Rhinolophus ferrumequinum: one gene and its partners. The protein of the gene in region 1 binds, or shares a complex with, the protein of each later gene. Links are inferred from orthologs where the notes say so. Each region holds a gene or a part of one and is shown in the gene's direction. Other genes may lie near its edges. The genes, in order: UBE2F, UBA3 and DCUN1D3.

Region 1 (7,704 bases):
TCTCCATCAGCTCGACCTCAGGGCCCATCAGCTCCAAGTCGTTGTCCTTCAATGTAGTTGTGGAGGGCGCAGCTCAGCTCTAAGTCCAGTCGCCGTTTTCAGTCTTTGGTTGCAGGGGGCGCAGCCCTCCATCCCATGCGGGAATTGAACCAGCAACCTTGTAGTTAAGAGCTCGATAACCACCTGAGTCATCCAGCCGCCCCCTCCGCAGCTCAGTGGCAGCTCATTGTCTTCAATCTAGTTGTGGAGGGAGCAGCTCAATGGCTGTGGGGACAGAGTCCCAGAGAGCAGTTTCCAGGCTCTTGGCCTTACGAGGAAAGGTGCTGGCTCGGGTAGTAGTTGGCCATCAGCTGTAACCAGTTAACCAATTAGCCACTGATATAACTGCCGTGGCTGTGTTTCTTGGTCGGTTGGTTGGCAGGCAGAGAAGCGGACAGCAGGTTGCGTGTTGTGTGGATCCTGCTCCATTGAGACTATAGTGGTATGACTCCCCTATCTATGGCTCCGTGGGTGTTCCTTTTTGGCCTAGCCATACCCTGCATTCTTATGTGGGGAGCGGGAGCTGAGACCCCGCAGGACAAATGGCACAGCGAGCAGGGTCTCCTGCACGACAAATGGCGCAGCGAGCAGGGTCCCTCGCACGACACTGGCCCATGTGGGAATCGAACTGGCAACCTTGTTGTTAAGAGCTTGCACTCTAACTAACTGAGTCATCCGGCCACCCTGCCATGTACATTTTGACAGACATAAAGTTTGTAATTTTCTTTATCCTGCTAAAAAACACAAAATTCAACTCAGTAAATTTAAAGGTCTAATAGGCTTTATTAAGTGACTTATAAATCGGGCAGCATCTCATCTAGCAAACAGAGAGATACTCCAAGGAATTATACGAAATGGAAAACTTCTATATAAAGGAGCCTGGGGCAAGGACGTCATTAGCAAAAGAAACATCAAAGTTCATTGGAGGAAAGAGTTCAGGTGATGAAGGGTTCTCATTGGCTGAGCTGTGGTTTTTCCATTGGCTGGGCTTCTTGCTGGTCCAGAAGAAAATCTTCCTTCTTCCTCCAGGGGTAGTAAAGTGGATAATACACCTTCCTGTTGGAGATGCCAAGGTCTGGTCTTTTCATGTTTGGGGTAATGGATGAGGTGGTAAGGTGTGACAGCTGCCTCTACAGGCGTCTCCAACTCCAATTTTAGTTGGTTTCCTTTATTAATTCTCACAGTCCAGATTACACCTATTTGCCAGTAAGATTATTTAACTATTTCACTTATCATTCTTTCCCACCCCCTATTGTAAAATGGGTTTTCTGATCACTTCTAATCTGTTGCTGTTGGTATGGAAAATATACCTATTGATTTTTTTTTTTAGTTGAGTCACTTTGTTCATCTTTCTGATTCCCTTTTACAGTTTTTAGTTGCCTCTTGGATATTCTAGGGAGTGGGTCACATAGTTTCATTATGTAATAGTCATATTGCCTTGTCCTTTCTAATAATCATCTTCTATTTCCGGTGTGTGCCTTACTGTGTTAGCCAGAACTTCCAGAATATTGAGTAATAATGGTGAGTGTAGGTATTTTTGAATCTTTGCCTTACCACACATGGCCTCTCCATCATAACCGGTGCCAGTGCTCCCAACAGCCATTCTCCAGGCCTCAGATGTGGGTAGTGTTTGCTTTTCCCTGAGGTATGTGTCCGGGGACTGCCATGAGGCAGATTGTATTTTCCTATAGAAAACGTAGGTTCAGAACTTCAGCAAATGAATCTGAATGGGGGGGGAGGGCAGCTCTACTGCCATGTGGATGTGACCTAAAATATAATAGTCACCATTTATTTCAAAACAACTTTGTTTTCTTGGAATTTAGAAAGGCTTTCTAAGCATGATTTGGATTACCAGTTTTTTAAATGATCTGTCCAGGGAAGCCTTAAGCTTCTCTATATTTATTTCTCTAGCGAATAACAGCATTAAAATCACTTATTTGACACAGACCTGTGTTCCAAGTTAAGGATCAATCATGTTTAAAAAAGACCCTTGTATTGTATTGTTATGAAGATAATATAAAGAAAATAAATGAAAGTTTTTTTTAAAAGAGGAAAATTCACTCTTAATCCTACCAGACACAAAAATTATTAATTTTTGTTCATTTTCCTCGTCTCTGCCCATATATTGGTCTTCTTCAGAATTGTAGTCATTGAATTTACACGATCCGAATGTTGCTTGTTTCACTTAACCTAAATAGTATGTTTGTGGTTTTACATAATCTGCATAATGACCAAGCTTATTGGCTGGGTAATCTTCCTGTAAGTAAATGAGCGGTGGTAATTTAGTTCACCATTCCCCGAATACTGAGCACAAGATTGCTTCCAAGTTCTGTAACACGATGGGTATTTTTGTGCCTCGGCCTCTTCCACTTTTAGATTACTTCCTCAAGCCAACCCGTGAATGAAATTACGGGGTCAAAGACCCAAAGGCCTTTAGGACTTTTACTTCCCTCCCACGGGGTTGTGTGGGGTCACCTAATGTCAGCAGAGCAAGCAGTGGTCCAGGTCGTCTCTGCATGGTGGCGCCTCTTCACAAATAGCACTGCTGTCCCCAGAGTCCCGGCATAGGACTTTAATCATGAGGGTTTGGCAAGGAGTCACCGGAACGATGGTTCTTCACCCCAGTCTCCAGGGAGAGCTGTGGCTGTAGGGGGAGAGGTTCTACCCGGCACTGCCTTGACATGCCAAGTGACTGCTTTGGGTGAGCCCAGTGTGGTCCTGAGGTTGCAGTCCCAGATGCAGAGCACAACCTCCATCCTGGACTGTTCCAGCTGCTCAGAACATGAGCTGTTTGCCACTTCTGTTCCCGTTCCCGTCTTGTTCACCCAATGTTCACATACACACTAATGTATAGACATTTTCAACCCTGGCTTTTTAAAAGTGGAAAACAGGGACCTGGCCAGATGGCTTAGGCGGTTGGAGCTCCGTGCTCCTAACTCCGAAGGCTGCTGGTTCGATTCCCACATGGGCCAGTGGGCTCTCAACCACAAGGTTGCCGGTTCGACTCCCACAAGGGATGGTGGGCTGCGCACCCTGCAACTAGCTAACGGCAACTGGACCTGGAGCTGAGCTGCGCCCTCCACACCTAAGACTGAAAGGACAACAACTTGAACCTGAATGGCACCCTCCACAACTAAGATTGAAAGGACAACAACTTGACTTGGAAAAAAGTCCTGGAAGTACACACGGTTCCCCAATAAAGTCCTGTTCTCCTTCCCCAATAAAATCTTAAAAAAAAAAAAAAAGAATTTTCCTTCAAAAAAAAAAAAAAGGAAAACAGTGTTTTGTGGCATTTTGCCCACAGCACTCACCAAAGTGGACAATGTCAGATACCTAGAGCAATCAAAACTATCGGTCATACACACAAAATATAAAACACAGGCAGCAGTGCCTCAGCACAAGAGTGAGTGTAGCACCCTGAATCCTTGTGACTGTGCCACGAGGAGCCCTGGGCTGACAGCACTCACGTCGCCCTTGAGTGAGGCCTCCTGAATGCCCACATCCCAGGCTGCCCCTGCAGCTGTCAACAACCATGCCCAGGGAATGCTTCCTGTATATATGGGGCATTGACTTACTATGGCTGCTTCTCTTCTGTGTGATATTCATCCAGGGCTTTGTAAACTCTGGCTGCCTGATCTGAAGGGGGTAGAATCACAGATGTGCAGCTGCAGGAAAAGGCAGTGAGGCACAGGTAGCTGACTGTACCACATCTCCACGCTTAGGGAGACAGGAGTTAGCTGGGTGAAGAAGGAAACTGTTCCCTAACAGAAGGAATACCATGACATATGTTATTCATTGGTCTTCCTGACTCTGGTCTCCACGCTGCCTGGCTCCCCTCCCATCAGCTCACTCAGAGCCAGAAGCCTCTTTTAGAAAGAAAACTTGACATTGTCACTCTACTGTTTAAAACCTTTCCATGGGGCTTCTGGAAATAAAATTCTAACTCCTCGGCTCTTTCTTCCGGGTCCAGATGGCCCACTCCTCCAGGATCCTTGCCTGACACCCGCGACCGTGCCTATTACCCATCACACAGGGGCACAAATGGACGTGAGAAGAATTTGTACTCAACAAGCCATAAACAGAACAATTTGCAACAAATTTTTAAAGTAGTTTACAAAACTGTAAGATGAAAGACGTAATATAAACCATTAAGACAAGAACAGAAAAGGGCCCACCCACTCCTTTGCAGCCTCAGCTTCACACCGAGTGTTGTTGGCTGTTTGCACTTCTGACTGTCCCGCCCCCCTTACCCCCGACACTGCAGGTTGTGGGGTCGGCCGGGTCCTCTGCGTCCTGGGCGCTGTGCTGGGCACACAGCGGGGACATCCACCCAGGCGGTCAGTTCCGGCCCTGCGCCGGGCTCCTCTGCGCCGCAGGCCGGGATCCAGCCCACAACCAAATGAATGGAGGCAGGAACGCGGCGTAGAGCAGGGAGGCGCTGGGAATGCGCAGGCTCGGGAACGCCCTGGGCGGCCCCGCCCCTGGCAGCCGCTGGCCAATCAGCCGGGGCCGCGAGACTCGCCCCCGCCCCCGACCGAGACTTCTGCCAATGAGCGAGGCCCAGCCCCACTCAGCGCACACCGCTGTTCGCACATCATGCTCCAAATAAAGTTCTTCAGGGTTTTGAATTTTTTTTTTAAAGTGCCCGCTGCCTTCGCGGCCGCGGCCGAGTCCCCGCCCCTCCACTTCCGGTCCCGCCGCCCGGAGCCGGTGCGGCTGTGTGGGCCCGCGTCTCGCCGCCGCCGGCCGGCCGGGCATGGTGTTGGGCGCCGGGCCCGCCTCGCCTGTCTCGGGGTGCCCAGGTGAGGAGCGCGCGGCCCCGCGGCTGGCGAGGGGAGGCGCAGGCCTCCAGGCGGCTCGGCTCCCGCGGCGCGGGTGCACCGGGTGGGCCGAAGGGCGGGCGGCGCCGGGGCTGCTTCAGGCCGCGCCGCTCCTCACGGCCGGGCGCCGGGCGGGCGCGCAGGACGCGGACCGCGGGGTGCGGGGCCGGGCGGCGTGAATGGAAAGGGCCGGGGCCGGGGCCGGGGCCGGGGCCGGGGCCGGGGCGCTGGCTGGGCTCGAGGGGCCGCCCGCACCGAGCACCGACTTGTGAGGGGCGCACACACGGCCTCGCTCGCGCCCGCCGTCGCGGAGATGCCGCCGGCCGCATTGTCCAGAAGGAGACGGAGGGCCGAGCGCTGGCCCAAGGTCACCAGCCCGGCGTGGCCGGAGGAAGCGGGACTCGGACGCCGGCAGTCCGACTGCTGACTGCGGTGGAAGTCGGGCGAGGCCAGGGAGTGGCGAGGGTCGGGAGGAGCGAGGCTCCTTCCTTGCCAGCTTGCCTGCAGCGGCCTCGCAATTGGGGGCGGCCGCGGCTGGTTTGGAAGCCAGTACCCGGGGCAGAGCAGAGGGGAGGACATCTTGGAAGGATCAGTACAGCGGGAAGTGGGATTCTGGACCTGGTTCCGCCGCCGTGTGAGCTTGGGCGTGGCCCTCCCTTCAGTAGGGCTCAGTTTCCTCGTCTGTTACCGAAGGGGATTGGGCCCTCCCCTCTCTGCGTCCCTCGCGCTCCGGAGTGGGTCTGGATGGATTGGAGAAGGCTTCTTGGAGGAGTAGAATCTAGATAGGAATCTGTTCTCTCTGTGGAAGGAGTAGGACTAGGTGGTGAAGGGAAGGAGGGCGTTCCGGACCTGGGTATCACGTTGAACGGAAGCTTCCAGAAATGAGCAGTGTTGTTGAGTAACAGGGAAGAGGCTGCCTGCCTTGTGCAGAGGATTTCTGGCTGGGTGAGGGGATGAAGATGGGGGAGGGTACAAACAGGAGGCGTATTCACAAATTACCACCAGGCTACGTGGTGTGGGGCTTGACCCCCACTTAGACATACCTGCCATTCAGGTAGTGGGCTGTGCAGGAGGGGGCAGGTTTAGGGCTGAAAATAAAAGGGTTGGGCTCCAAAGGTCGGTCAGCCAACCGGGTGACTCCTGGGCCAGATGGGAGGTTCTGGGCCCTGGCCTGGCTTTTCTGCGGGAGGAGGGTGAGGTGTGGACTTTTTTTATGTTCGGATCTGGGCCTCTGGCAGGAGAACTGGCTTGTCCACTAGTGACCTGCAGTTCCATCTTTTACACTTAGTTTGGGACTTTTTCACAGCAGGAAGAATTGTAAACAGGGATTTCCCGGGCATCCCCACCCCGTGAGCTGACTGGCTCCCGTGTCCCTGTACAGGTGACATGGCCTGATTTTGCCACTGCGGGCAGGAGTGCTGAGTAAATATTACTTGATGATGAAACTACTAAATAGTACCTAAGAATCGTCTTTGAACTGCCCCACGTAGAGGAGGGACTTAAATGGGCCAATTAGGACCTGTGGACTTGAGAGACTCGGCATGCTGTTCCACATAACTGATCTGTTACCGAAAATACTGCCTTAGTCAGAGTGTCTTTGCAATAAAGGGGCAAGTCTTCAAGGGGTGAAGCATACTGAGGGAGGAATTCTGAAGCAGCTGCATCTGTTCAGCAAACCTCTTGGCAGTTTGAGTAATTATTTTTATTCAAATCTCTTTATATAGAGTTAATTTAACAGCTCTGGACACATCCCCAAATTAGGCCTGTTATCCCTGAAGTGGGATAAAGGATATGATACTGATACAGATGATGGAGAAATAGATGGTCATGATATACCTATACTTCTCAGAATGCTGGGAGAGTACGTTTTGTATTACCTTCTATGGAAAACAAAACACCTGTGCTATTTTCTTTCATACCTTGCACATCAGTGGCCAGCATGTTGTATCAAGGGCCACAGCCTTGTTGGAGAGCGTAAGCCAGGACCCTGACTGGTGGAACTGAGTATGGGACACACTCTGCCCACAGAAGAATTCATTCACTGTGGGCTAGTGGGGACTATAAAAGAACAAAGAGGAGTCCTCCGACTTCAGTGACACAGAAGTGTGTGTGTGTGTGAGCCTTTCTTCATGAGTGTGAGTCTTGCCAGGACCTTCTGAGCGGCCCCTTCTGTGCAGGTCTTCGGAGCTGGGTGTGGACCAGGCATGTGCCCGGGCCCTCAGTTTTCCATGGGTCTCTTCATTGTGACCTTCCTAGGGTACTGTCTGCTGAACTCTCTTTACACATGCCGTGCTTTTATTTTTTGCCACATTTCATTGCCAAAGTCAGCTAGAGGATAAAAACCAAGTGGACTTTGTGTGGTGCATCTGTGCTTCCAGCCAACCCCCAAGGAATGGACGTGTATCTGGGCGGTCATCCGGTGACCCTGATGAGGTGTTCAAGTCTGGGTTGGTGACAATGGACTTGGCTGGGCGCAGACACTGCTTTGTGATCCAGTTCCTGACAGCATCATTGGGGTGGGCTGGGCCAGGGAGCTGTGTCTCCGGCAGCTCCGGGTGGAGCCCCCACGGGTGTTCCTCATGCCAGGCCCGGCCCCGCCCCTTTGTGAGTTACTTCATAAACCACCGGAGCTCCCAGCCCTGGGTAAAGCTGAGAAGGTGGGTGTTGGTTGGTTGTGGTCCCTGCTTCGTGTAGGTCCACCTGAGAAGATGGCGTAGTAGAGGGGGAATGAAAAAACCATTGTGGGTTGGGTTTTCACATTCTGTCAACTTTCTTGAGGTATAATTGAAGTACACCGTTTTAAGTGTATGATTTAGGCGTCTTGACAGACGTACATACCCCTGAA
Region 2 (7,331 bases), on another chromosome or scaffold:
CTTATTTTTTCATATTAAGGGGCTGGTTGATGCAGAAACCTCCTTTTATCTCAAATGCATGAGAAAAAATATTTTAGTTAATTGCATAGTATGGTAGGTAAATTCTAAGATGCTGGTATCTAAGATAACAGTCTTTAAAACCTGCAAGTGGTGCTGTTTTTAAGAAACTGAATTCACTCTGCTCGGATCACCAATTTTCAATAAAAGAGAAAAAAAAAGCAATAAAATATATCTAATGTGAAGTCTAGAAGACATGATTTAATTTTCTCTGATGATTCAGAAAGCAGTTAAAGAACTGAAAGTGACTCTAAGAAAATACTCCTGTCATTGGTGTGAATAAAGTTTAAAATGTGAAAATATTCCTGAGCTCTCACATTTTCTTGATTCTGGAAAAATGAGAAGATTTACTGTCAGGGAGAGCAAAATTAGAGTCCTAGCTACTCTATTTCTTGATGAAATTAAGAAATAATTTGATGAAACTTTGATGAAATTAGTTAATCTACTCCAGCCTCAGTTTCTTCCTGTGTAAAGTGGATATAATAAGATCATCAGCCATATAGTTGAAGAGTGGATGGGGAATGCTTAGTATACAGTAATTGCTCACAGTTAGATATTACTGTTAATGTCATTAATACTAGTACAGCCCATTATTCATCTGATAACATAGTATTAATAGTGCTTTAACCTGATTTGTTTTCCATACTTTCATAATGAACATCTACTGACTTTTCTCTATCTTGTTGCAATTTTTATTGTTGTGGGTATATCTGAGTAGACTTGATAAGGACAGAAAGGTTGAAAATTTTCAGTATTATGGCAACAGGTATTTTGAGTCCTTTCAAGGCTCTGTGAAAACATTGTGAGAGATAAAAAAAAAAGTTGAGAATAATTTAGCTTTGCCCTGACTTCAAGGATCTTGCAGTGAAGTGGAAACACTAACTTAAATACAAAACAGTGAGAGGAATGCTATCTAGAGAGGTGCCAGGCCTTGGTGCTCAGTTACAGGAAGTCAGAGGGTGTGGGAGAATTCCCTGAGCTTTACAAGTTTCATGAAGCCGCACTGTGGGCACGCTGAGTAAATGATCTCGGTCAAGACCAGTGTAGAAGCCCAAGCAGGGCCCCTTCTTGTTGGTGAGATCAGTGAACATTAGGAACTGTGATCATGAACTTTTACCTTCCAATTACTCAGTACTGCATGACCATAAGCTGTCAAGCGTGTGTTACTAATAATATGATTACTCATTGATCACAGGCAATGGACATCCAATAAACATTTGTTCAGTGTATTTTTAATTTTTGTTTAAACCTCTATAGAAGTTTAAAAATAAAGAAAGAAATGAAGAAAAACAAAAACAGATATACTAGTATAGAGCATGATCCTCTTTTCCCTAATTCTCAAAATATTAACTATGCTTCCCTCTCTGGTTGGATTATGGGACTTTTTTTCACTGTACATTTCTACCTTTGTCATGTGGGGGAGGAGAAAATTCCTCCTCCTTCTCATTCTTTTAGAGCTTCTGGCTGGTCTAATAATCAAATTGACATGAGACAGATAACCAGGAGAAAACAACCAAATTTAATTACCTATGTACATACAGGGGTTCCGGCCCATATTCTTATGGAGGCATATATGCTATATTGAGTTAAGGAGAAGCGGGGGTTAGTGGTTTGGGACTTCAACAGGGAAGAAGGCAATTCACATGGAGATGGAAACACAAATGTTTAGTAAACAAATGTTTGCTGGGCCACCGTTAACAAAGGTACACAGAGAAGACTGATCAAATGGGTCTTGCTAGGTTCTTCTTTTGTCTATCACACACTAGTTCATATTCAACTATAGTTATCTGGGGCGGATGGGTGGCTCAGTTGGTTACAGAGTGAGCTCTGGGCAACAGGGCTGCCGGTTCGATTCCCACATGGGCCAGCAAGCTGCTCCCTCCACAACTAGAATGAAGTCAACGAGCTGCCGCTGGGCTCCCAGGTGGCCAGATGGCTCAGTTGGTTGGAGCGCATGCTCTTAACCACAAGGTTGCTGGTTCCTACCAAGGGATGGTGGGCTGGGCTCCCTGCAACTAACAACGGTGACTACCTGGAGCTGAGCTGCGCCCTCCACAACTAAGATTGAAAGGACAACAACTTGACTTGGATGGAGCTGATGAGTCCTGGGAAAGACACACTACTGTTCCCCAATTAAAATAAACAAATAAATAAATAAACTAAAAATAAAAAAGTGAAAAATAGACTATAGTTATCTATGATGATAGCTCCCTTCTTGGAGCAGATCCTCTATATTCTATATATCTATATCTATAGAATATATATCTATATTCTTTTGAGGAAGGTCAAAGGGTTTTCCTATCTTCCACTTCTTACAAACAACCAGTTTAAAATAATCACTATCCCAAAGAGGCATATTTTGGGAAACTCTGCTTCCCTTCAGACATAAAATCATTTTAAACAAAAATGAACGCATATGGGATCCTTACTTGATTCAAGCACTGTTTGAAATGCTATTGATAGCAGCTCTTTGTCACTATTCATTTAGGGGGTCAGATTCACTGTAGAGGCTTTCCTGGTGCTCTTATACCTAGACGTGTGCTTCTGGATAGGACCACTCTGAATATTTATCTGTCTGTATGTAAACCAGAGTAGATAGACTAATAGTTTATGTTGTATTCCATTTGAAATGAAATAAATCTGATGCAGGCTTCTCTTGCATGTCTCTGTTACTTTCATTACTGGCAAGTGCAGGTGGCTATTTCTAATCAGTCAGTCTGAGCCAGAGGGTGTGCCTGGTATCATGTATCAAAATACCACTGCAGTGAGTCAGTGTATTAATTCCAAGGCACAAAGATGCAGGACCAGAAGCCTTTGCAGACCTCTTCATGGGCAAGCGACATCCTGTCCATGGGCGTCAGCTTCCTCCCCTGTGAAATGGGGTGTGGGTGTGGGGGTTAGACAAGGTGATCTCTAAGGTGCCTATTAACTTTTACCATCTGAGGAAACTATGATGCTCCCTGCCCCTAACCAAAAGGTCTCCTGAAAGTATTATAGCATTGCTGGGGGCAAGGGTTTAACCTCAATGGTTTCCATCTGCAGAGGAGTCTGGGCGAGAAAAAGAGGTTTCTGGGTTGATATTGAGACATGTGACCTGGATAGAGGCTGGTGTCTCCTGCTATGGGCTGTGGACTCTACCTCCTCACTCCTTGGCACTGACTTTTGGCTCAACGAATGCTATTGAATTGAACCCCATTGGAGGCTAATAAAGGACAAAGAGGAGATTAAATATCATAATTTATTAACGACAGCTATTTACTGCGTACCCATCAGGATTTATATAGTACTGCATTTCATTAGTTCTCAAACTTTATTTTGTACAGAAACAGGGCTTTGCAGAAGGTCGGTGGTGAGGCCTAATTTGTGTTTGTAACAAATTCCCAAATGAAGGTGAATACTATCAGTTTACAAATGAAGACAGTAGTGCTCAAGGTCTCATAGGTAAAAAGTGGAGTTAAAAATTTAAATTCTTTCTGGATTCTACATCTCATTCTTGTCCCACTCCAAAGAAGGATATACATATGTATGTATATCTACATCTGATTATTTTTCTGTATCCGGTCATACACAAACACACATACACACATCTATCAATTTTTGATTCTGGAGGAAAATACCTACTCTAAAATTTTATTGCCATTTATCTTTAGGCAATGAGATCATGGTCTAAATTATTCTTTAACTTTTGTGCTTTTCTTTTCCTTATATTTTTCTTCTAGCTACCTAAATATAAAACTTTTTCTCAGAAAAAAAGTTCTTTCAATTTAGTTTCATTTCCACTGAGTTTCTTACCTGACAGAATGATGTGACACTTAACGTTAATATTCGTATTAACAAAGAAAGAAAATATCTTTATCCCACCCCTATAAACTGATCTAGAAAAATTTTACTCTTAAAATGAGTGCCGTTATGCAAACATGTTGGAACCGTTCTCAGAAGTAGAAAGTGAAAATTCCCCTGATGCTTTGCCTCAGATGGAAGCTCTGGCATATTAGGGTGGCTCTTCCAGGAGTTTTTTCATAGAACATACCATTTTACATAATTATTAACATATAAATTGAATAAACATAATGTATTACATATAGATTTTCACGCAGCCTAAAAATATACACTGGATAAGATTTCTCTAATTGAGCGTAGTTAATTAAGATTATAATTACAGCGAAAAGCTTTAAAGCACGCGGAAGCATCAGCAAAGGCAGCCCGGCTCTGCAGACTCCGCCCCGCCCCGCCGGCCCCGCCCCGCCCCGCCCTGTCAGGCCCGCCGGCCCCGCCCCTAAGCCTGGTCCTGCCCGCCGTGGGGGCACCTGGGAAGAGGCGGGGAACAATATGGCGGATGGCGAGGAGCCGTAAGTATCCGGGCTCTGCAGGCGCGGCGGGCCGGGCTGGGTTGTGAGAGAGCGTGGCGGTGGGCGGTCGCCGCCTCCACCCGGGGTCCCCCCATCCCCCCGCCCCGTCCCCTCGCCCCCCATCCTCTCGCGGCGCCCATGTGTAGCGTGATGCTGACCCTTCTTTTATTCTCTCTTTCTTTTAGGGAGAAGAAAAGAAGGAGAATAGAGGAGCTGCTGGCTGAGAAGTTAGTGCTGCCGGGAGGCCGGGGCCCTCTCCGGGGACCCCCGCCTCCCCCCACCCCAGGCCTAGGGGACCAGCCGCAGCGGGCCCGGGGGGCTGGGAGGGGGGCACCCAGTGCGCAGGCCGCGCGGCCTCATCCCCTGACCCGAGTCCTGGAGTCCCAGGGGCCAGGCCGGCCAGTCCTGGTTTCTCTCCGGAGGGCGCCAGGCCCCGAGTGCACCGCCGCAGGTCCAGCACGGGCCCGCCGGCTGCTTGACCTAAAGGTCTAGCGGAAGGACCCTAGCGCTCCCGTCTTCCTCCATCCCAAATTGTCAGAGATGTGACCTTGTGAAAGGGGAACCTTAAACACACGAAACGGACCTTAGGCCGTTTTTGGCCTTTCGTAAACACTGAGACAATAGTATTAATTGCAGACTTTCTTTGAGAACTCTGCATGGTACAGTACTAAGCACGTCAATCATTTTTGCAGAATAATTGACTCCTGAAGGAGAGCGTTGACTCCACAGAGCTTATTTTGCCCATTTATTACACACTCTATTTTTTATCAGATGCTTAGTTTTGTGCGGTGAGATACATTTAACAGTGTTTTCCAACGTGGCCAACCCACATTTTTGCTCCTGCCAACATGGGAGGGGAAGAAAGTACTCTTGCAGTGGGTGTGGTGAGTTAGTAATTTCTGTGCCAAATCCCATTAGCAGTGCACCAGAGTGTGTACAGGTATCTCTCTCAGAAAGTTCAATTTCAATTGCTAGGGGACTGGAGTGACAAGCTTAATTTCACATTCCTTCCCACCCTTCATTTCCTTTCCACTTTTGCTTAAAATAACAAAGTTCGAATGCTTATTGTATGCCAAGTATTATACTGAGGCCTCTGTATAGGTTATCTCTTTACCCTTCTGACCTTAAGTAACTAGAAAATCTACAGATGAGGTTTATGGCTGTTAAGTAATCTGCTCAAGGTCGCAATGCTATTGTGGAACCAAACCCAGCCATGACATCAAAACTTATGGTCATTGTTGCTAGACAATACTTCTTGGTACCTTTTGTTAAAATTAGATATTAATAATGTATTTGAAGGTCGAAATTATGGGATTACATGAAATTTGAAAATTAAAAATAATTACAACCAAACATGAATTTTGCACTGAGTAGGAAATACATGTATTTTGTTAGAAGAGTCCCATCATATTCAGCTGTATGTTCTAAAAGGTTTCTAGATGATAATGCCTATCTGTGGTATAATCTAGCCTAAAACTTGCTGTGTTCAGGGGCAACAAAAACCATCTCATAGTATTAAGAGATTCTTTTTATGAAATTTTGAAAATAGGGACCTCTGTTTCAGAGAAGAAAATGTATAAAAATTCTCATCAAAGTTATTTTTAAATCACACCTTTCAAACTTGGATATGAATCCTAGATTTGAAACATCACAATTCTGAAAGTGGAGTTATGTATTTATTTATTTTTTTTGTAACTGATATTTCCTGATCTAAGTGTGTTGAAGAAACAGATTGGGGAAGTTTGCAGTGACCTTTTGTAAGTTCCAAATGTAGAAAAACCCATTTCTTCTTGATTAGACAATATCCCAAGTTTGATTTGGCTTGCTTTAGGAACCCAGAAACATATAGACTGATTTATTTCATCAAACACATGCAGTTAACTTTAAATAAACTATAAAGTAAAGAAAAAAATTAAAAGCATAAGCACAATCACATTAAATATTTCCCTTTTTATTTGAGCAGGTCTGGTGTGATTACCTTTTCATTTGGGGAAACCATAATAGTTGTTTAAGTGTGGCTTTTTCATACTGACCTTTGCAGCTGAATTTACTGTGTTCTGTGCAGAATGGCTGTTGATGGTGGGTGTGGGGACACTGGAGACTGGGAAGGTCGCTGGAACCATGTAAAGAAGTTCCTCGAGCGATCTGGACCCTTCACACACCCTGATTTCGAACCGAGCACTGAAGTGAGAAACGTTTATTTTTAAATAACTCCTCTAATAGTTTTGTGTTTCAAAAATAGCAAAATGCTTTCTTTTTCATTTGCTCTTATAACAAAATACTCATACAGTTATATAAGTTATCTTGAAATACTAAATGCAATATTTGCAACTGATTTTATCTGAATGATTAATATTTGAGTCACTTTCACATTTCTCATGTAATATGTTGAAATTCTTCAAGTAAAATAACTTTATAATCTCGTTTAGAATTCTATATTATAGTTCATTTTAAATTCGTTTAAATGACTTCTGAGACACACCCGTTTTTAGCCTTGCTATGAGAAATTAATTTTCATAGGAATATAGATGCACTTGTTTAAATTTTGAAATATAGTTGAAATGAGCATCTTTACTTAGGATTGAATATAACTAATTGCATGTTACAAATTATGTGACTGCTGTATAATGAATAGAATTTTGGACTGATAGTGTCTGACTCAAAGCAAATGTTCAATTAGATAAAACTTGTTTTTTATTACAAGGTAGAAAAGAGTATTCTTTACAGTAAAGTTTTATATCCTTTTGTGTTTATAAAGAGATACTGTTTTGAAATCGATATATTATGCTTGCTCCTTAAATTAAGGTGCCAACTCTTGGGTTTGACACACTCTCATCTGAATAATTTTTCTTTAATCTTGGACAGAATTAACAGTATTCTGTCTTTTTTCGGATCTCGTATTTTCTTGTCCTTTGATTTTTTTTT
Region 3 (7,118 bases), on another chromosome or scaffold:
TGCTTAAGGCGCTGAGGGCTCCTGGGGCTCCAGCTGTCCCCCTGAACAAGTGTGGGGTACAGTTCTCCCAAGTCCAGTCATTCAGAGGCTGCCTGCATGGTTTTGCCACATCTACATACCACCTATATTAACATTCAACGTTTTCTTTAAATGGACTCTCTTGTGAGCATAGTATTTGGGAAATTGCCGGATACTCTTTTCTTTCTAACACACGGTAAACAAAGCACAGAACTTCCAACTAAAGGTCATGTAGCCCCCACTATCTCACTCATGTACCATCAGCAGCACACACGCCTCCTCCTGGCTCGCAGCACACTGAGCCAAGGCGAGCAGAGGCCAAGGAAGGAATGATGAGCCATAAGAAAACCCCAGGGCGTCGTGAGCAGTCCTCGGGTGGGCACGTCCTCCTGTGACATCCCCAGCAGGACGCTGGCCATTGTGAGGCCACCGTCCCTGCCTTATTACCTGGCAGAACAACTGACACATGAAGCTACAGAAAGGGCCCAGTGGTATAAAATCCACAAGCGCAGGCACTGCTGCAGGCTGCTCCACAGGAGTTCAGGACAGGGCTCACGACGGGATCAGGTGAGGACAGAGCAGCGTGGGAGGCTTCCTGGAGAAGGTCAATTGAATCCAATGCTCGGTCATTTATGACAACCACAAGGCAGGACCCAAGGGATACGCTATCAAATAAGACATTGTCTGAGCCTGAGGAACTGACAGGCGGGTCGGGGAGACCACACGACATACATGAAACAGACAAGGAAAAAGTATGACCAGCTCCTCAGGGGTAGGTATAGGTCAGTGGTCTGCAAACTTTTTGATCACCTACTCCTTTCAATAAATATTTCTCAGGCCACAGATCCATATATGTATTTATATTGATTTGTACGTATACGTTCAGTAAGTGTACTAATGTCATTATAAATATAGACAAAACAGACATTTTTAAAGGATGCAATAGAAACAGAAACCGCACTTGCAGGACCTATTTCCAGTCCTCCGAGGGCTGTGTAAGGTCCCTGCACGCAGGTATGGCCTGTCTGGGGGAGAGTCAGAGCCGCTTCCCAAGCAGGGTGGCCCTCGTACAGCGGGGAGCCTTCAGGGATCCCAAGAAGGCAGAGGTGCTGGGGTTCGGGTTGCGAGGGTGGGGGTCTTTTGTAGCACTTATCCCAACTCTAATTTTACGTTTCTTTCCATCTAACTCTGAAATACCTTTGAGGGACCGTGCTGCTTTTGCTCATTTTATATTCCCAAGGTGTTGGGCGTACGGTGGGCGCTCAGATACCTGTGGAGTGAAACAATGAGAGCAGAGCATTGCAGAGCAGTGGCAGGCATGGTGACAGAAATAGGCAAGTTGGGAAGGGGACGCCTTCTTGTGGGAAGACGAGCTCTGTCTTGGGGTACGGGGTCCTCAGACGGCTGGTGAAAAGCCAAGGCTGGGTGTCCCGATTTGGGAGCTGGAGCCAGAAGGTGGCTGTCTGCCCCTGGGGCCTCGGCGCAGAGGGTTGACCCTCAGAGGACCCCACAGCTGGCAGGAGGGTGTGGAGAGAAGACAGGGCCAAAAAGGAGACAGAGACGGGTCAGAGAGGAAAAAGTAGAGAGAGTGGATTGTCAGGAAGTTTCACGAGGGGAACAGTGACAGCATTGAATCCATGAGATCAATGAGAAGGGGGCAAGGAAAGCCAGGGGCTGAAAGCCTCTTTCCGTGCGAGTTGCCAGGCAGGCTTCCAAAGAGCTGACAGCTAATGCTTGATGGTTTACCGGGATGAGTCACACCGAGCCTCTCAGAAATGGTGTTTGGCTCCCTGGTGTCTGGGTGTGCAGTTCCATTAAACCAGTTCATGGGAGCACTAGTTTACCCAATTCTCTGGTCCCAAAGGGCAGACGCACTGTGCTAGCCAAAGAGGCTGCAGTTCACAGCTAAGTATGAGGCAGGCCTGTGTCTTCATCCTAATCTCTTCCCTCTGAATGGGTTTGGACTTGGAGGCTTTGAATAGTTTATAAATTGAAAACCAAAATTGACCTGCGCACCTCCTGTGGCAGTGTCCGGCGACAGCACATCATGTGACGAACTGCGCCTCCCCTGGCAACTCTCACTGGCCTCACTCCTGTCACCTGGCTCGTGGGGTCTCCTGGGGACACAGCCACTTGCTGGCTGGACCAAGACCTGAAATGAGTGAAGAGAGAGCCCTGGGCCGGGCTCTGCTTCCCATCAGCTGGGCCTCCGGCTCCTTCCCTTCCTGCCCAGACTCTGCCACTGTGACTCACGCTGCTCCGTCCTCTCCATTTGGGACAGACAAGAAATGAACAAATGCAAGACACTGCTCTCCTCTCGCTCTCCAGCTGAGGCCTACTTACATTTTTGTTTTTCTGGAACAGTGTTCTGGCTTCATTTAATATGTACTCTTTTTCTTTAATGGTGTCTTCCATCTGTCCTGACGACGCCTGCCATTTCCTCGCAAGCCTGAAAATTCGGCGGTAGAGGCCAAGAACTTCCTGTCGCGTTGCTGTTGTCATCTTCAGACCCACCAAAATAGAAGAGGGAAAATGTGCATAAAAATTCACCGTGACAATAGGCAGCTAGCCAGATGCACCTTTTTTTTTTTTTTTTTTTTTTAAATCAAGCTCTTTAATTAGAAGGCACAGATAACTGCCTTCTCAGCAAATCCGTTTGGCAGCATTGCCGCATGGCCGTGTACGAATACCAGCTATCCCTTGGCGGCCTCGTGTATCACCTCACGGTTGAGCTGCTCCACTGTACTGTTTGCCATGATGGCCACTTTTACAAACATGGCAAAACAAAACCAAAGCACACATGTACTGTTCTTTGAACCGGTAAATTCTTAGGAAGGATGCTTTTCGTGTGTATTCTGGTAAAATTATATCCCTAACCTGAGTGTCTAGGAAAAGGCATGTGTTGAATAACTGAATTTTCTAGTTAAGTGAGAACTTGAAATTAATGCAGGTTGCAAACTCACGTTCCTCCAGGGTCTGGCAGGTAACAAAATGAGGGAATTTGACTGGGTGGGGACACTGGCCAACTGGAGAGGACATGCCCCCTTAAAAGGGGACAGTCGCTACTCAGCCCCCGCCAGCCGCTGCCATGTAGAAGTGAGGGCCTAAGGGTGCCAGATTTCATGATAGCTTCACAATAGGTGGCAGTCCAGATTTTTAAAATATAAAATCTCAAAAAAGACACAAATTCATTTTTGAAAATGTGAGTACGATGAAGCCCAAAGAAAATGTGTCTGCAGGCTAAGGTCCTCCCAGAGGGCGTCAGGTTGCAGCCTCTTAGTTCAGCATAGCCTCGTTGAAAATATTTTGCAAAACTGTCAGTTCACTGCCTTGTGCACATGAGAACTGTGTAGTAAGTATAACTGGAAGTCTTTGTGATGGCTGAAGATCTGTGGCCCCTCTGGGTTTGCACGCTGAAACATCAGCTTTCATTTCAGAGGACTTGGCCAAGTTCCTGACCGAAGTATGTTCCATAAAGCTAACTGTATTTTTATAAATTAAATTCCTGTTATTTTTATTTTCATTATGAAATACCTCAGATACACAAAAAGATATAGAGAATAATTAACAGCCATACATTCACAATGGACCTTAGGGAATAAATTATATATACAGTTGAAACCCCCACTGTACCTTTTCCAAATCGAATTCCTCTTCCTCTCTCCTAGAAGGAACTGCTATCCTGAATATATCTTTCTCACACGTCTTTACATTTCACATTATATAGTATTGCTTAGCAACTTTAAAAGAACTTTATAAAAGGTATTGCCTTTCTGCAACTTCTTTTTGCCCATATTTGTACTGTTTCCCCAAAAATAAGACCTAGCTGGACTATCAGCTCTAAGGCGTCTTTTGAAACAAAAATTAATATAAGACCGGGTCTTATTTTAATATAAGACCAGGTATAATATAATATAATATAATATAATATAATATAATATAAATACCGGGTCCTCCCGGACCAGGGCAGATTATATTAATTTTTGCTCCAAAAGATGCATTAGAGCTGATGGTCTGGCTAGGTCTTATTTTCGGGGAAACACGGTAAGGTTCATCCATGTGGTTACACACAGCTCCAGTTCATGGGTTCTCACTACTGCAATTCAGCCCACACTGTCTGAAGGTATCTCATGTATTCTTCTGCTGATGGACATTAGGGGTTTCCCTTTTCTTTTACTTACGCAACAACGTTAGCCTGTTTCTTTACTACTTACTTCTACAAGAAATCCCGGAAAGTGAAAAAGCCCCACTACGGGAGGATTCTGATTGGTCAGATTTAGGAGAACGAATCCTGTACTGCCTTTAACAGATGGGCAGGCCGGGAGGACCCGGGCACATGCAGTGAGTGAGCAGCAGGGCCGGGCCAGGCATGGGGACCCTCCCCGGGAATCCTGGGTTTTCCTCAAACAGGCTCCTCAGGATCTGGAGGTAGGTGCTCACTGCCCTTTGGGAGCGCGACCCATTTCCAACCCGAGCGGGAGGGCCAACACATGGAGACTGTACGCTTCAGGAGATTTTGTCCTGAGTTCCTGAGAATTCGAGCAGCTAAAGAATACAGATGGGAGCTGTAAGGAGGTGTGTTTATCTGTTAGGTTGGTGCAAAAGTAATTGCGGTTTAAAAGATTAAAAATAATTGCACGAACCGCAATTACTTTTGCACTGACCTAATAGAAATTCTAAGTTGCTGCAAGGAAACTGCCTGACAGAGAATTCCTCTTTCGAATATGACTGTCCCTCCTACTTCTCCTGACCCTGGTGACTTTTCTTGAGCAATAAGGAATGAACCAAGGCTTAACCATTTGATGATAAGCTTGAAAGCACTAGTTCCCCCAGTTCAAAAGTCGACAGGACTAAGCTTAACCTCCAACACCAATTCTGATGGCCAGGATGCTTCAGAGAAAATGCTTAAAAGGAATTCATAAAAACCAAGACAACCGCATGTTTTGTGGTTCATCGTTAATAAAAACCCACATGAGATGATGACATTTTCCTGGTAAGGAAACAGGTTTCTGAGTTTCTGGCTCTCTCTAGAATTCCATGGTTTCATCTGAAAATACGTGAGTCAGTTCCTGTGAGGGGCAGGGAGTCTGTAACTAACTTGTATTAACGATTGCCTCACTTCTCTGTCATTAACAGACGAAACTGCCCGGACTGCATGGCACTGGTGAGGAGTGAAGGAGGTCTGGCCTGTGAAAACAGCAGCAACCTTCTGCAAAGTCGGACTTTAATTGGTTTCCTTCTACTCTTAGAACCTCCGCTTCAGATTGTAGCTGATCATATACCATAATCGGATACACAAGCCCTGTAATTAGGGCACTCAAGGTAACAAGCAGAACTAACAATTGGTACTTAATAGGCCTATTTTCAAAACACTTTAATTAACGTTTACATGTTTGGAGAAGTAATCCTGAAAGGGAGATAAGTGATGTCTCCCTCTCCAACATCAGGTGACCCAGAAAACCTAAATCCTGAAGATTTCCAGGGGGAGGGGGTCTGAAGCTCTGTTCCCATGATGTACTACTAACAGGCCTAGCCAACCACACTTCTTCCCAACTCTGCGCAAAGCCAGGAAAAAGATGCTTTTGTTCTTTTCTTATTGGAATCCTTCAGGTCTCAGAGAGAAGGAATCATGTTCTCTTACCGTAGGGGTACATCCCATCTGTTCCCTCTTTCTAGAAGGCTCTCTTGGCTCCCTTGCAGCCTTCAGTTACCAATGAAAACATGGAGGTCTCAGAAAAGCCTTTCCCGCTCCCTGCTGCCCTCACCACGTGCATCAAGTCAGGTCTCTCAGTTGAGCCCTTCCGCGGCCCTTGTATTTCTTGTAGCACTTGACCACGCAAGTAATGGGTTGTTAGTGTCCGTCTTCCCCGAGCCTCGCACCTTGTGGACAGGAACCACACGCACCTTATTTACTGCTGACTTCTTGGCACTGGTGCTCAACGAGTGCCGCTGTTGCCCTCCTTCCATCATTCATTGCACACCAGCAGCCCCTTCAAAGGAGGCTGTGCATTTGGGGGGCTGCTCTGCCCTTCCCTCCCCACAGCAACCTGTCCCCAACACTCCAAAGGGAGCTGACATCACAGAAGGGACAGCAGGCCTCATTACAGGGCTGCCAGCCTGCAGGCCAGACTCCAGCTGGGACCAAAAAGGGGTCCCGTGGCCAGTAACCTCCCAGGGAGACCCGAGCATCAACTCCCAGCCGGGCAGGTCAGGGTGGGGAGTCACCCCCCAGGCCTGTAACTTCTTTAGTGAGAGGCTTATCTTTGCCGTAAGCAGCCCTGTCCATTGTTTCTGTGCATCTCGTTTTGTGCAACACACCTTTGACATAAGTGGGACCACCCTCAAGAGAGCACCTGATCTTGTTAACTACCCTGTAGTCCAGTCCCCGCCTTGCTTTCTCCCAGTCCCCGCCTTGCTTTCTCCCAGTCCCCGCCTTGCTTTCTCCCAGTCCCTGCCTTGCTTTCTCCCAGTCCCCGCCTTGCTTTCTCCCAATCCCTGCCTCGGTTTCTCCCACCTCCGTCATCTTCCTTTGTTCCCTCCTTAATTCCAAATGCATGAAAGAAAACTGCAAAACTGTCCCTCTCCATTTATCTTGCTCCCCAGAAATTACCCTCAATGTCTTACATAAAATTTCTACAGGTTTGGACGTTTCTTACATGGACACTTCCCTCCCAAACACCTATCCATCCATCCATCCATTCATGCAGTCAGCATTTATTTAGTCAGTTCACCCCAGAGGCTGGGCACAGGCAGTTCTGGGGAAAGTGATAACCAAGCAGCCATGGTCCCTGCCTCCTAAAGTTTATATGCTCGTGGCAGAGGCAGACGACACACAAGAAGAACAATTTCTGGTAGATATATGTGCTCTCGGAATGAACCAGTCAGTATATATGAGCAGAGGGAGCGGTTATTTGATTGTGGGTAGTCAGTGACATTCGAGCCAGTGCTGAATGCTAGAAAGGAGAGTTAAGAGGTCGGTGAGGTGGTATCGGAAGAGGGGTCAGCAGGAACAAAGGCTGTGAGGTGGGAGCCAACCTCCTTGTAGTGAGAGCTTATGAGGAGGTTAGGCCCCAGGTGGGCAGAACTGAGCACAGGTTGGG

The links.
Region 2: the proteins of UBE2F (region 1) and UBA3 are in contact, whole or in part, in a crystal structure (PDB 3FN1), measured with the Homo sapiens proteins. The link is inferred for Rhinolophus ferrumequinum from reciprocal best matches to the Homo sapiens genes UBE2F and UBA3. Residues at the interface, in NP_001265234.1 of Homo sapiens: Thr27, Arg28, Arg29, Val30, Asp34, Lys35, Val38, Lys39, Val41, Ala42, Glu45, Val54, His55, Phe56, Pro57, Asp58, Pro59, Asn60, Leu62; in NP_003959.3 of Homo sapiens: Ala401, Thr403, Thr405, Leu406, Glu407, Gly408, Asn410, Arg411, Thr412, Ser417, Val418, Thr419, Ser420, Ile421, Arg424, Thr425, Gln442, Glu443, Ala445, Ala447, Asp448, Val449, Thr451, Pro452, Gln453, Thr454, Leu456.
Region 3: the proteins of UBE2F (region 1) and DCUN1D3 are in contact, whole or in part, in a crystal structure (PDB 4GBA), measured with the Homo sapiens proteins. The link is inferred for Rhinolophus ferrumequinum from reciprocal best matches to the Homo sapiens genes UBE2F and DCUN1D3. Residues at the interface, in NP_001265234.1 of Homo sapiens: Leu2, Thr3, Leu4, Lys7, Leu8; in NP_775746.1 of Homo sapiens: Glu108, Glu109, Glu112, Pro122, Thr123, Glu124, Met139, Cys140, Glu194, Ile204, Ala207, Leu208.

The regions. Positions count from the first base shown.
Region 1 is NC_046291.1:2,437,845-2,445,548, reverse strand, and holds the start of UBE2F (NEDD8-conjugating enzyme UBE2F), read left to right. Parts: upstream 1-4,696; 5' UTR 4,697-4,841; intron 4,842-7,704. UniProt on the Homo sapiens protein: Accepts the ubiquitin-like protein NEDD8 from the UBA3-NAE1 E1 complex and catalyzes its covalent attachment to other proteins. Together with the E3 ubiquitin ligase RNF7/RBX2, specifically neddylates cullin-5 (CUL5).
Region 2 is NC_046300.1:62,780,844-62,788,174, reverse strand, and holds the start of UBA3 (NEDD8-activating enzyme E1 catalytic subunit), read left to right. Parts: upstream 1-4,323; 5' UTR 4,324-4,386; coding exon 4,387-4,406; intron 4,407-4,591; coding exon 4,592-4,633; intron 4,634-6,471; coding exon 6,472-6,592; intron 6,593-7,331. UniProt on the Homo sapiens protein: Catalytic subunit of the dimeric UBA3-NAE1 E1 enzyme. E1 activates NEDD8 by first adenylating its C-terminal glycine residue with ATP, thereafter linking this residue to the side chain of the catalytic cysteine, yielding a NEDD8-UBA3 thioester and free AMP.
Region 3 is NW_022680357.1:16,190,615-16,197,732, reverse strand, and holds the start of DCUN1D3 (DCN1-like protein 3), read left to right. Parts: upstream 1-4,041; 5' UTR 4,042-5,340; intron 5,341-7,118. Other genes in the region: LYRM1 (LYR motif-containing protein 1), read right to left, coding at 2,362-2,520. UniProt on the Homo sapiens protein: Contributes to the neddylation of all cullins by transferring NEDD8 from N-terminally acetylated NEDD8-conjugating E2s enzyme to different cullin C-terminal domain-RBX complexes and may play a role in the cell cycle progression by regulating the SCF ubiquitin E3 ligase complex, after UV damage.